3 linked regions of the Saccharomyces cerevisiae S288C genome follow. The protein of the gene in region 1 interacts with the protein of each later gene in a biochemical or structural test. Each region holds a gene or a part of one and is shown in the gene's direction. Other genes may lie near its edges.

Region 1 (6,505 bases):
TCTACCAAGTTACTGGTGGTATTTAGGTCTACGTTGAATGAATGCAGGTCCCTATTATTGACACCTACAACTTTAGCACCAATTTCTAGAGCCCTTTGTAATTCCTCTTTGGAGTTCACCTCAACGAGAGGTTCCATGTTCAAATCTTTACTGTAGCTGTACAGTTCCTTCAATAAGGGTTGAGATAGCATCTTGACTATAAGAAGGACAGTGTCAGCTCCAGCTAATCTTGCTTCTAGTATTTGATACTTGCTGAAAATAAATTCTTTTCTCAAAACACAAGGCCTCTCCTTGGGAGGAAATTTCAAATCTAGGATTTTCCTCACATTTACTAAATCCTGTAACGAACCGTGAAACCAATGAGGTTCGGTCAATACGGAAATTGCGGATGCACCAGCCTCTGCGTATTTGAGAGCCTGTTCAGCAGCAACAGCTTTTAAACAAATGGGTCCCTTCGATGGAGAGGCACGCTTGACTTCAGCAAGAACAACGGCTCTTTTATGGGATGATGACAACACCGTGTAGAAATCCTGTAACGGTGGGGCAAGACCTAAATCATAGTTAGATTGTAAGTCTTGAAAGGTGAAACCTGGGATTTTAGACTGCTCATTGACGTCTATTTTACGCCGAGCATAGATACGGTCCAAAATAGAATTTGAAGGAGATGATTTGTTTTCCTCCCAAGTGCCTCCACTGACGTTTAAAATGTTCCTGATCATCAGATGACCTTCCTCGGTCAAGATGGATTCCGGATGAAATTGCACACCTTCTACAGTGTACTTCTTGTGTCTTACACCCATGATAATTCCATTTTCGGTACTCGCAGTAACCTTCAAGCAGGATGGTAGGGACGATTCTGTCCCGGCCAATGAATGGTATCTTGTCACAGCAATACCTTGCGGCACGTTCTTGAAAATTCCACAGTTGTCGTGAGAGATTGGGGACGTTTTACCGTGGACAATCTCACCAGCGTAGGCAACTTCACCACCAAATACGTCAAACATGCATTGCTGGCCCATACAGATTCCAAATACAGGAATTTTCCCAGTAAAGTACCGGATACAGTCTCTTGAAATGCCAGAATCTGTCTTTGGGTGGCCTGGTCCAGGCGAGATAAGCAATGTGTCGGGATTCAAGGCGGCAATTTCTGGAACTGTAATTGCATCGTTACGGTAGACGCTCACTTTGGCGCCCTCCTGGCACAAGTACTCGTAAACGTTCCAGGTAAAGGAATCGTAGTTGTCAATTAGAACCACATGCTTATTGATTGGGTTTGTTGCAGCGTGCACAGACATTTTTTTCTTACTTTTATGGCGTTCTATGTAGAACCAAACAGATTTGGTAATGTGTTAATACTGACCAGCTCCTTGTCGAACTTTTTGCGTACCTTAATATCTGCTATAGATTAGAATGAGTCAACGAGCCATTGATGATCATTCAATGATTACTACAAGAGGCATTTTCCGTCGTCAGTGATATGAATAGCACGGTGAGGTCCAGAAGAGATAGTAGGAAGTTTAATACTGGCTCAAAGGCATACTTATATCGACAAGCTAAGCGCAAATACTACTTTGTGGTACATCATCAGCATTGCTTTCGAGAAAACAGCATTTAAAATCAGCCATTTGCTGCGCTTTCTTTAAGCCCTAACAGAAAATAGTTCAAAAAGGCCTATAAGAAGCAAAAAAAGTGAAAAATACGAAAAAATACTCCAGCGGAGGAGTATAAAAGGGAGGAAAATACAAAATGTAGTTGTGTTGTTACGCATCTCAAAGAAGAAAGAAGAAGAAGAAGAAGAGGACGTCGCACTTGCAAGCAAAAACAGCGACTGGCGCGAGAACAACAAACACTAATGCATGTCTCTGTCCAGCAGGAAAAGCGAGCCTTAGTGTTTCTTATTTTCTCGTTCGCCTCACTAGTTTGTAGTAGGGTGGGAGAAACGATGGAGTGGATTGTATGATGAGGAACCAGATAGGGACAACAGATTCTCAAGTGACGAGGAACATCTTTTAAAGCCCAGTTTTTAGTAGAGCTTAGGGCGCCTTTACTGACTATCCACTCCTTGTTAAGCTATGATCTTGTATTCATGTGATTGTAAATAATATTAGAGCTCTTTCTTGAATTGCCATTACGCTTCCATGCGGCATATTCTCGTGTAGTGTGACAAAAGGTGCGGGTGGCAAATAAAGGTAAAAGAAAATGATCAAAAAGGGCCTTTAAGTAGGATGAGCAACCGCCAATCGCTGGATATAAGCAAACAAAAAGTAAGATTAGTAGCAAAGCAAAGAACATATAACTATAGCTATGAGCAGCAATAATAGTGGTCTCTCTGCCGCCGGAGAAATCGATGAAAGTCTTTATTCTCGTCAACTTTATGTGTTGGGTAAGGAAGCAATGTTGAAAATGCAAACCTCCAACGTATTAATTCTCGGCTTGAAGGGGCTAGGTGTTGAGATAGCGAAGAACGTTGTGTTGGCAGGTGTCAAATCTATGACCGTTTTTGACCCTGAGCCGGTTCAATTGGCAGACTTATCAACCCAATTCTTTTTGACCGAAAAGGATATTGGTCAAAAGAGAGGAGATGTGACCAGAGCCAAATTGGCAGAGTTGAACGCATATGTCCCGGTTAATGTGCTGGATTCCTTAGACGATGTTACCCAATTGAGTCAATTCCAGGTCGTTGTCGCTACGGACACTGTTTCTTTGGAAGATAAGGTGAAAATCAACGAATTTTGCCATTCCTCCGGTATTAGATTCATTTCCTCGGAGACAAGAGGGCTGTTTGGTAACACCTTCGTAGACCTAGGTGACGAGTTCACAGTGTTGGACCCAACGGGTGAAGAACCTCGCACTGGTATGGTTTCAGACATCGAGCCCGATGGAACAGTGACCATGCTAGATGATAACAGACACGGGTTGGAAGACGGAAATTTTGTCAGGTTCTCCGAAGTAGAAGGTCTTGATAAGTTGAATGATGGGACCCTTTTTAAAGTTGAGGTTTTGGGGCCCTTTGCATTCAGAATTGGTTCAGTCAAAGAATATGGCGAGTATAAGAAGGGCGGTATCTTCACCGAAGTCAAAGTACCCCGTAAAATCTCATTCAAGTCTTTGAAACAACAACTGTCCAATCCTGAGTTTGTTTTTTCGGATTTTGCTAAATTTGACAGAGCTGCTCAATTGCATTTGGGATTTCAGGCTTTACATCAGTTTGCCGTTAGACATAATGGTGAACTGCCAAGAACAATGAATGACGAAGACGCCAATGAATTAATCAAGTTGGTCACCGATTTGTCCGTTCAGCAACCGGAGGTTCTGGGTGAAGGTGTAGATGTTAATGAAGATTTAATCAAAGAGCTTTCCTATCAGGCAAGAGGTGACATACCGGGTGTCGTAGCATTTTTCGGTGGCCTTGTGGCACAAGAAGTGTTAAAAGCATGTTCTGGTAAATTTACTCCGCTAAAGCAATTTATGTACTTTGATTCCTTGGAATCATTGCCAGATCCTAAAAACTTCCCAAGAAATGAGAAGACTACTCAGCCAGTAAACTCTCGTTACGATAATCAAATCGCGGTTTTCGGTTTGGATTTTCAGAAAAAGATTGCCAATTCAAAGGTCTTTCTTGTCGGATCTGGTGCCATTGGTTGTGAGATGTTGAAAAATTGGGCACTTTTGGGGCTTGGTTCTGGCTCCGACGGTTACATCGTTGTTACGGATAACGATTCGATCGAAAAGTCCAACTTAAACCGTCAGTTCTTGTTTAGACCAAAGGATGTCGGAAAGAACAAATCTGAAGTAGCGGCAGAGGCCGTTTGTGCTATGAACCCCGATTTGAAGGGCAAGATAAATGCTAAAATTGATAAAGTGGGGCCAGAAACTGAGGAAATATTTAATGACTCCTTTTGGGAAAGCCTGGATTTTGTCACCAACGCTCTAGACAATGTCGACGCAAGAACATACGTAGATCGCCGTTGTGTGTTTTATAGAAAACCACTGTTAGAATCTGGTACCCTAGGTACTAAAGGTAATACTCAAGTCATCATTCCAAGATTGACTGAATCATACTCTTCTTCTAGAGACCCACCAGAAAAGTCTATCCCATTGTGTACCCTACGTTCTTTCCCAAACAAGATTGATCACACCATTGCCTGGGCCAAATCTCTTTTCCAAGGTTACTTCACTGATTCCGCCGAAAACGTTAATATGTACTTGACACAACCGAATTTCGTTGAGCAAACACTAAAGCAAAGCGGGGATGTCAAGGGAGTTCTAGAATCCATCTCAGATTCTCTATCTAGTAAACCACACAATTTTGAAGATTGTATCAAATGGGCAAGGTTAGAATTTGAAAAAAAATTCAACCATGATATCAAGCAGTTACTGTTCAACTTCCCCAAGGATGCCAAGACTTCCAACGGTGAACCATTTTGGTCCGGTGCTAAGCGTGCTCCAACACCATTAGAGTTTGATATTTACAATAACGATCACTTCCATTTTGTCGTAGCAGGTGCTAGTTTACGCGCTTATAATTATGGTATTAAAAGTGATGACTCTAATTCTAAACCCAACGTGGACGAGTATAAGTCCGTCATCGATCATATGATAATTCCAGAATTTACTCCAAATGCCAATTTGAAAATTCAAGTTAATGACGATGATCCGGATCCAAATGCCAACGCGGCTAATGGCTCAGATGAAATTGATCAGCTGGTATCATCCCTACCAGATCCTTCTACTTTGGCTGGCTTTAAACTGGAGCCTGTAGATTTCGAGAAAGACGATGACACTAATCATCATATTGAATTTATAACGGCTTGTTCTAACTGTAGAGCTCAAAACTACTTCATCGAAACTGCTGATCGCCAAAAGACCAAATTCATAGCTGGCCGTATTATTCCTGCCATCGCAACAACCACTTCTTTGGTTACTGGTTTGGTCAATTTGGAATTATATAAACTGATTGACAACAAGACAGATATTGAGCAATATAAGAATGGCTTTGTTAATTTAGCTTTGCCATTTTTCGGTTTTTCGGAACCAATTGCTTCACCAAAGGGAGAATATAACAACAAGAAATATGATAAAATTTGGGATAGATTTGATATCAAGGGAGATATTAAATTAAGTGATTTAATTGAACATTTTGAAAAAGATGAAGGGTTAGAAATAACAATGCTTTCTTATGGCGTTTCTCTTCTTTATGCCTCATTTTTCCCTCCAAAGAAATTGAAAGAAAGACTAAATCTACCAATAACTCAATTGGTTAAATTAGTGACTAAGAAAGATATTCCGGCACATGTATCTACAATGATTCTCGAAATTTGCGCAGATGACAAGGAAGGAGAGGATGTTGAAGTTCCTTTCATTACCATTCATCTATGAGTAACTAATTAACCAAAATAAAAAAATAAATTAAATATATACATTAAATATGTATATATATATGTATGACTTTTGACAACTTTTTCTTTGGTAAAAACTTATTATTATTATTATTATTATTATTATTAATGTAGTCTCGAATATTTGAGTATGTTTTAGTTTTTTGTTTTATATTTTCTTTGGGTTTAACTGCTTTGGTTGGAAACAATTTGGAATAATTCCCCGCGATTATTATATAAAGTGTCGAAGTTACCTCGCTCAACCACTTTACCATCTTTAAGAACTGCAATCGAGTTACAAGACCTCATCATTTGTTCACTATGCGTTATAACCATTGTTAGTAGAGCAGGTGGACCTTTTTTGACGATCTCATTGATGATAGAGGAGCTGACAGAATCCAAGGCTGAAGTACACTCATCTAAAATCAGAATTTTTGATTTTCTCAGAAGTGCTCTGGCTATGCAAAGCCTTTGCGCTTGTCCACCTGACAGTAAAGTTGTATCAATACGTGTATCCAAGCCCTGAGGTGATGAAATTACAAAGTCATGGATTCCTACGTATTTTAATGCATCATACATTTCAATTTCAAGTATTTCATCTTGTAAACCATAAGTTAGGTTATCTCTGATGGTTCCATTGAATAATAAAGGTTTTTGCTCAACCACTGAAATTTCTTTTCTTAAACTTGTCAAATTCCAGTCATTTACGTCCGTACCGTCTATTTTAATTTTGCCTACTTCACAATTATAAAGTTTTGTTAATAAAAGCACAAGTGTAGACTTTCCTGTGCCTGATTCACCAATGATACCTAACGTCTGTCCGCAAAACATGTCAAAATTCATGTTTTTGTAAACAAAGGCGGTAGGTGCAGATGGATAGGCAAATGTCAAATTTTGAATTGAAACGATTGGTTTTTTTTCTTTGCCATGGTAGGTGTGACCAGCTATTCCCACTGTTCTAGCATTATTGTTTTCAACCTCTAGGGTATTATGCTTTTCATCAAGAATCCTATAGATCCAACTGGCAGCACGTTGGCCTCTACTTATATCGGGTATCTGACTTACTAGGCTAGTGCATGACATAATAGTGAATAATAACAAAGTGAAAGTCGTAAACATTTCCTTTG
Region 2 (3,343 bases), on another chromosome or scaffold:
ATAACCCTGTGGTGAATATTTTTGCAACATCATTAACTGTTTCAGTCGTGATATGTGGAGACGCTACCAATAAAGGAAACATACGAATCAGAGTTAATGACAATTTTTCCGTGAAAAAATTCAGTAATGAGGCAGAAGCTACAATTGCTTTTATCAAAGATGGTGTAACGACATCAGATAAGAAAAATTTATCAATAGATTCAGAAACAACGTTTGTAAAACTTTCAAAAAGCTCGCTTTCTGTATCTTCTATAAACGGAATTAAACATAGCGTTTGTAGGTAGTGGGCTCGAGTATCAAAAGAAAATCTTGCACGGTTGTCTGTAGATAGGTCGAGAATATGTGACTCAGAACAAAATTGCAGGGAAATTTTACACATGTCTGTAAAAAACTGTTTATTGCTTCTTACGTTGAAAAAAAAGTCATCAATACACTTCGTATCATCGTTTTCATCGGCTACTTCTTGATCAAATTTGTAAAATTGGTATTGTTGATTTAGTAAGAACTCACTCAAGTTGGCGCCGACATGTGAAGTGTTTAACAGATGAGATATTAGCGAAACTTGCAAGCGAGATATTAATTCCAATAAGTAGGCACTGGATAGCTCATTTCCAGCATCGTAATACTGGACGATTGAATCATTGGTAAACGTTGCTGAGGAATTCAAAATCTTATCAACTTCGTTTAGAAATGATCCACGAAGCACAAGTTTCGCTAACTTTTTCCAGGTGAATTTAGTAAGCTCTGTAGAGTTGGGAAACTGGATAAATGCATTAATAAAGCCCACTAATGATAGTAGACCAGATTGTTTAATAGTAAAAATCTTTAATACACGCTCAAAATAAGTTGAAATGATGCCGCCTATATTTTCATAAAGAACGGGATACTGTTCACAAGCTTGAATCATAAACTTAGTCAGCTGGAAAGTTAGCAATTCAATCGGATTTCTCATCTGTTCCAACTTGAATTTCGAGGACAGAACATCTGAAATTCTTTGTCTTGGAGTTTCCAGAAAATAAGGCGCAATTATTTCTTTAAGCATTGTCTCTACCAGATCGAGCGTGGTAGGGATTGCAACACAAAGCGAAGTTAGTACTTCCCATTCACTCAATGTAAGTGGTATAGTATATATCTTTGACGTATTTGTGGAATAAAAAATAGGCAATGTATGAGTTATCAAATCTAATGTTGTACCATTACTGTTTTGATCATTTGGTGCACCCGTCGAAAGTTTAGTTAGTCTTCCAATAGCTTTCGCTCTTAAAGATGAAGAGGCTTTCAATCCTCTGGTAAATCTCATCTGCCTTAAACGAGTGGCGTTTTCGATTGCTGTAGTTATCTTTTTGTGATCTAATTTTTTTCTTGATTTACAATAGTTATTAATGTTGAATATGTTTTTTCCCACAACTCAAACATCTTCGCAGTATTCTTGAAAAAAAAAAATACTATTAACGTACCTTCATCCCTGCGCGTGCCGTTTGATGATATCAGCCAAAAGGTAAAATGAGATGAAAAAGGCCAATCATTCATAAATGTACTTAGAGACATTAAAGAATCAGTTAGAGAATATAAAACAAGATAATAAAAATGGTACGTAGATGCAACTATATCTTTCCGTTTCTCATTGGCGGTTTTTAGCGATCGAAAATACTAACATAATCTTTTTGGGGGGTGAGAATGTATATGTGTACTGGATATGTATATTCTTGGCTTTATTCAAATAGTTGAAATTACGCCAATTACAAAAGAAAAAGCAAAAAGAAAATGAAAACAGCAGTTCTATTCAGCCTAATTTATCGGCAGCAAGAATTCGTTTGAAAAGGGACCTTGATTCGCTGGACCTCCCACCAACAGTGACTTTGAATGTAATAACATCACCAGATAGTGCGGATAGATCACAATCGCCGAAATTGGAGGTAATTGTTAGGCCTGATGAAGGATATTATAATTATGGATCTATTAATTTCAATTTGGATTTTAACGAAGTTTATCCGATTGAACCACCAAAAGTTGTATGTTTGAAGAAGATCTTTCATCCAAATATCGATTTAAAGGGGAACGTTTGCCTAAATATTCTTCGAGAAGACTGGTCGCCAGCTCTAGATTTGCAGAGTATTATAACCGGGCTTCTTTTCTTGTTCTTGGAGCCTAATCCCAATGACCCGTTAAACAAGGATGCAGCAAAGTTACTGTGTGAGGGTGAGAAAGAATTTGCTGAAGCTGTGAGATTGACCATGTCTGGAGGTTCAATTGAACATGTCAAATATGATAACATAGTTTCTCCTTGAGTCAAGTTCAGAGTAATTTTCGGTTGATTTGATTATATATAAACAATAAAATTATAGATAATTGTGACATACTAGGCGAGTTGTCGCCTTGGTAACATCTTGCTACCGCCATCTTCTGTTAGTTTACGCCTTATGACCAACATTCCTTATATTCTCGTTCAAACTTTTGTCTCGATATTTTGCAGGTACCTGTAGAACTTAATGTGTTCTATTCAAAATAAGTATAAAATTTCTGGCCAGTAAAGGCAAACAAAACATAAAGATATTAATACGAAAAATTTCTTGAAGAAAACAAAAAATACTTCTTATAATAAAGAAACAGCGAAGCCATGGCTATTGACAAGATAATCAGGAAGGTGAGATACCCTGGATAGAAGACTAAGAGAGAGCAGGAAGTTGAAGAACGCAATCTCAGCTATCGCTAATTCTTACAAAAAATAAAGATATTACAACTATGGAAGAAAAAAATGAATGACTATACTAGTTAGTAATATTTAACAAGATAACGCTTTCTATTTTCTGTAAAAAAAATTCTGTCTCATGCACTTGGAAGCAGCTTCAACATTTCTCTTTTCCAGATGTCACATTTTCCGGACCGGCCGTCATTCAATCGCAATTAAAAGAGAAAAATACCAACAAGTGGGTTGATTTACTTTTGTGTTTTCAAAAAGACCAATAGTTCTAACAAAGTAGATGCTTAGAAGTAAGCAAAGTGGAATATAGAGAAACAAAATTAAGTGATAGATTTACTTTTACACAAGAAAAGAGATGAAAATTTTCAATACAATACAATCTGTGCTGTTCGCAGCATTTTTTCTAAAACAGGGAAATTGCCTTGCGTCAAATGGGAGTACCGCATTGATGGGGGAAGTAGATATGCAAACGCCCTTTCCAGAGTGGTTAACAGAATTTACTAATCTTACACAATGGCCTGGAATTGACCCACCTTATATTCCGCTAGATTACATAAATCTTACTGAAGTGCCAGAATTAGATAGGTACTATCCTGGCCAGTGTCCCAAAATTTCTAGAGAGCAGTGCTCATTTGACTGCTA
Region 3 (3,535 bases), on another chromosome or scaffold:
CTTTCTATTGTTCCTGATCTTTCGAATTTAGTTGTATTTCACTTCACCTACTGTAATAACTTTTTTTTTTTAGAGCACAATAAAATTTCACATATTTTCCAAAAGCAAGGGCGGTAAATCAGAAAAGATTAAGCTTTAATGAAAATCTCATAGAGACCAGATGAAGAATATTGGTGGCAGCATAAGCGCTAATACTGAATAGATATACGCATTTTTTTTCAAAATATCTGTTAGTACATTTATACAAATATATTCGTTTATACCTCTTCTTTAAACAGGCGCATGTGTAAATAAATATGAGACTGATTCTCCATTATGCAATCTTCTGATAGCTTCTGCAATCGTAGGGCTGATATCCACCTGATCGACAATGTCCAAATCCAAATCAACAGGTACCGTGTTGGTGCAAACAATTCTTGATAACCTACTATTTATTAACTTCTCCCTAGCTGAGCCAGAAAATATACCATGTGTGACAATAGCGATAACCTCCTTAGCACCGTGATCCATTAATGTGTCACAGGCTTTCACCAGCGTACCACACGTGTCAGCCATATCGTCAATCAACAAGCATGACTTACCAGCAACATCACCGACAAGCAGCATTCGCGAAACTTCATTAGCTTTTTGCCTCTCCTTATGAATCAAGGCAAAATTCATATCCAGCTTGTCCGCTAAAGAAGCCACCCTTTTCGCACCACCAGCATCAGGCGATACCAGTATCGCATTATTGAAATCTGTTTTGGTCCTTATGTAATTCAACACACTTGGTTCACCGTATAAATTATCAACCGGGATATGAAAAAACCCTTGAATTTGTGAAGCATGGAGATCCATAGTAATAACATGATCACAACCCGCAGTTTCCAAAAGATTGGCAATCAGCTTCGCAGTGATGGGCGCCCGCGATTTATCCTTCTTATCTTGTCTAGCATAAGGGAAATTTGGTATTACTGCCGTAATTCTTCTGACTGATGCCGTCTTACAAGCGTGAATTAAGATAAGTAATTCCATTAAGAAATCGTTGATTTCATGTTCCCCGTAACCAGTTTGGATGATATATACGTCTTCATCACGAATGCTTTCCCCTATTGTAACAGACGTCTCTTTATTTGAATACTGATATACCCCCACTTTAGATAACGGTACACCAAGCCTTTGGGAAATAAGCTCAGCAAGCCCAGGATGTGAGTTACCAGCTAACAACTTAATACTGTTTGTAGACATATTCAACGAAACTTACGACAAGATAGTCTTTGGATGATGAGGAATATCCTCTTCTTAGCAATCCCTCGATGCCTCCTCATATCATCTATTGTTCAAAATTTTTTCATTGTTGAAAAATAGTCACGTGCTTAACCATTTTGCTGCGCGATTTGGTAGGAGGATAAATACACGGGCATACCGTATCTGTTCAATAGCAACAATGTCGGAGAGAGCTAAACTAGCCAACTCGCCATCCTATTCCACTGGTCGCTTGAGTCGATATCCTTCCACAGCAATATTGCACTTTACAATTAGGATAGCCTCCCCAATAAAATAAGGAAATTTTGGTTATTTGTGTTCAGAAAAAGCCGAAATCGATTGCAGAGAACAGAAAGGAACTTTCCGATTATCACACTTTAGGAGCCGTGATAAAGAAGACTACCATCGCATATCGCAGAAAAGACTTTAAATATTAACTAAAACCGCATTCGCAAATTGCAAACAAAGTACGTACAATAGTAATGGCTACAAAGCAGGCTCACAAGAGATTGACGAAAGAGTACAAGTTGATGGTGGAAAACCCTCCACCATATATTCTTGCTCGCCCCAACGAAGATAATATTTTAGAGTGGCACTATATTATCACAGGACCTGCGGATACTCCTTACAAGGGCGGTCAATATCACGGTACTTTAACTTTCCCGTCTGATTATCCATACAAACCACCGGCTATCAGAATGATAACACCGAATGGACGTTTCAAGCCCAACACACGATTATGCCTTTCTATGAGTGATTACCACCCTGATACTTGGAATCCTGGCTGGTCTGTCTCAACCATTTTGAACGGGTTACTAAGTTTCATGACCAGTGATGAAGCCACGACAGGATCAATTACAACATCAGACCATCAGAAGAAGACATTAGCAAGAAATTCCATAAGTTATAACACTTTTCAAAATGTTAGATTCAAATTGATTTTTCCGGAAGTTGTACAGGAAAATGTAGAGACATTAGAAAAGAGAAAATTGGATGAGGGGGATGCGGCAAATACAGGTGATGAAACAGAAGACCCTTTTACAAAGGCTGCGAAGGAAAAAGTCATCTCGTTGGAGGAAATTCTAGACCCTGAAGACAGAATACGCGCTGAACAAGCGTTGAGACAATCAGAAAATAATTCCAAGAAAGATGGCAAAGAACCTAATGATAGTTCTTCAATGGTTTATATTGGTATCGCTATTTTTTTGTTTTTGGTTGGCCTTTTTATGAAATGAAGCCATTAAATGAACTAAACTTTAGATAAATTTTGACAACACAGAATAGAAATCAATAGTATTATATAGACAAAACGGATCTTTTTATTATGAACATTGTGAATTATTAATTATATTTTTGAGTATGTATTGACCAAGAAACCTCAATAAAAATGAGGTGAAACCTAGGGAGACAGAAACTCCCATTTCAAAAACCTTCAACTTTCATTATAAGCTTACCTTGAGCACGTTGTGTAGCCATATAGGAAAATGCTTCCTTGAAATTTTTCCAGGAATAAACCTTATCAACAACGCAATCTACGACTCCCTCATTTAGCAGCTTGCCGCATTCATGTATCCAATCATTCTTCTTGGGGATAATCTTGATATTGGGGTCAAAGTAAAAATGAGAATAATCGTATGACCATAACATTGATCCAAACATTTTTCTTGCATTGGCGCTAGGGTTATCCCAAGAATCAAAGACGTCTTTCTTATAATTTCCAACATAATCACCAACTGTTGTAATATAAGCACCTTTAGCGTGAATTAAAGAACTCGAGTGACTCAAGATATCATAACCACCGATGAAGTCCAACACGACATTAAATTTACCCTGAGTATAATCTTCGGTTTCTTTGAGAGTATTAAAATCATCATAATCTACAACTTTACCGGTATCCAACATACGTCTGAGTGGTTTACTAGATTTTCCCCTACATGACAGATAATTTATGAAAATGATTTCATCTTTCAAATCCGGGAAATGTTCTGACAGGACTGCTGCACCATTACCTGACGTTACCACTACTAGCTTTTTAGAAACTTTATAGTAACGCTTCAATAACTGGATAGCAAACATCCCTACAGAGCTTGTACCACCGTTTATTAAAACATTAGATTCTGTATTCAATTGATCCTTCTCCTTTAGTTGAGCTAACAGATTAAGTGCTGTTCCTAAACAGAATAAGGAGCCTGCTGCCTTTTCTGGTGATAGAGTATTTTTGGGTCGCATTAAAATAGGATCGACACGCGGATCAATGAGCAACGAACTTTGCAGGGCGCCAATGGCTAAC

What was found. Proteins that work in one complex are often made in the same cells at the same time.
Region 2: the proteins of UBA1 (region 1) and UBC12 form a complex in vitro, tested with the Saccharomyces cerevisiae proteins (one study listed by BioGRID).
Region 3: of the proteins of UBA1 (region 1) and UBC6, one has a biochemical effect on the other in vitro, tested with the Saccharomyces cerevisiae proteins (2 studies listed by BioGRID, with this or other methods).

What each region holds. Positions count from the first base shown.
Region 1 is NC_001143.9:36,859-43,363, forward strand, and holds UBA1 (E1 ubiquitin-activating protein UBA1), read left to right. Parts: upstream 1-2,304; coding exon 2,305-5,379; downstream 5,380-6,505. Other genes in the region: TRP3 (bifunctional anthranilate synthase/indole-3-glycerol-phosphate synthase), read right to left, coding at 1-1,295; ATP-binding cassette a-factor transporter STE6, read right to left, coding at 5,565-6,505.
Region 2 is NC_001144.5:742,564-745,906, forward strand, and holds UBC12 (NEDD8-conjugating protein UBC12), read left to right. Parts: upstream 1-1,587; coding exon 1,588-1,590; intron 1,591-1,724; coding exon 1,725-2,288; downstream 2,289-3,343. Other genes in the region: 1-phosphatidylinositol 4-kinase STT4, read right to left, coding at 1-1,300; chitin deacetylase CDA1, read left to right, coding at 3,057-3,343. UniProt on the Saccharomyces cerevisiae protein: Accepts the ubiquitin-like protein NEDD8/RUB1 from the UBA3-ULA1 E1 complex and catalyzes its covalent attachment to other proteins. The major substrate is CDC53/Cullin.
Region 3 is NC_001137.3:357,835-361,369, forward strand, and holds UBC6 (E2 ubiquitin-conjugating protein UBC6), read left to right. Parts: upstream 1-1,727; coding exon 1,728-2,480; downstream 2,481-3,535. Other genes in the region: ribose phosphate diphosphokinase subunit PRS2, read right to left, coding at 271-1,227; AST2 (Ast2p), read right to left, coding at 2,668-3,535. UniProt on the Saccharomyces cerevisiae protein: Catalyzes the covalent attachment of ubiquitin to other proteins. Functions in degradation of misfolded or regulated proteins localized in the endoplasmic reticulum (ER) lumen or membrane via the ubiquitin-proteasome system.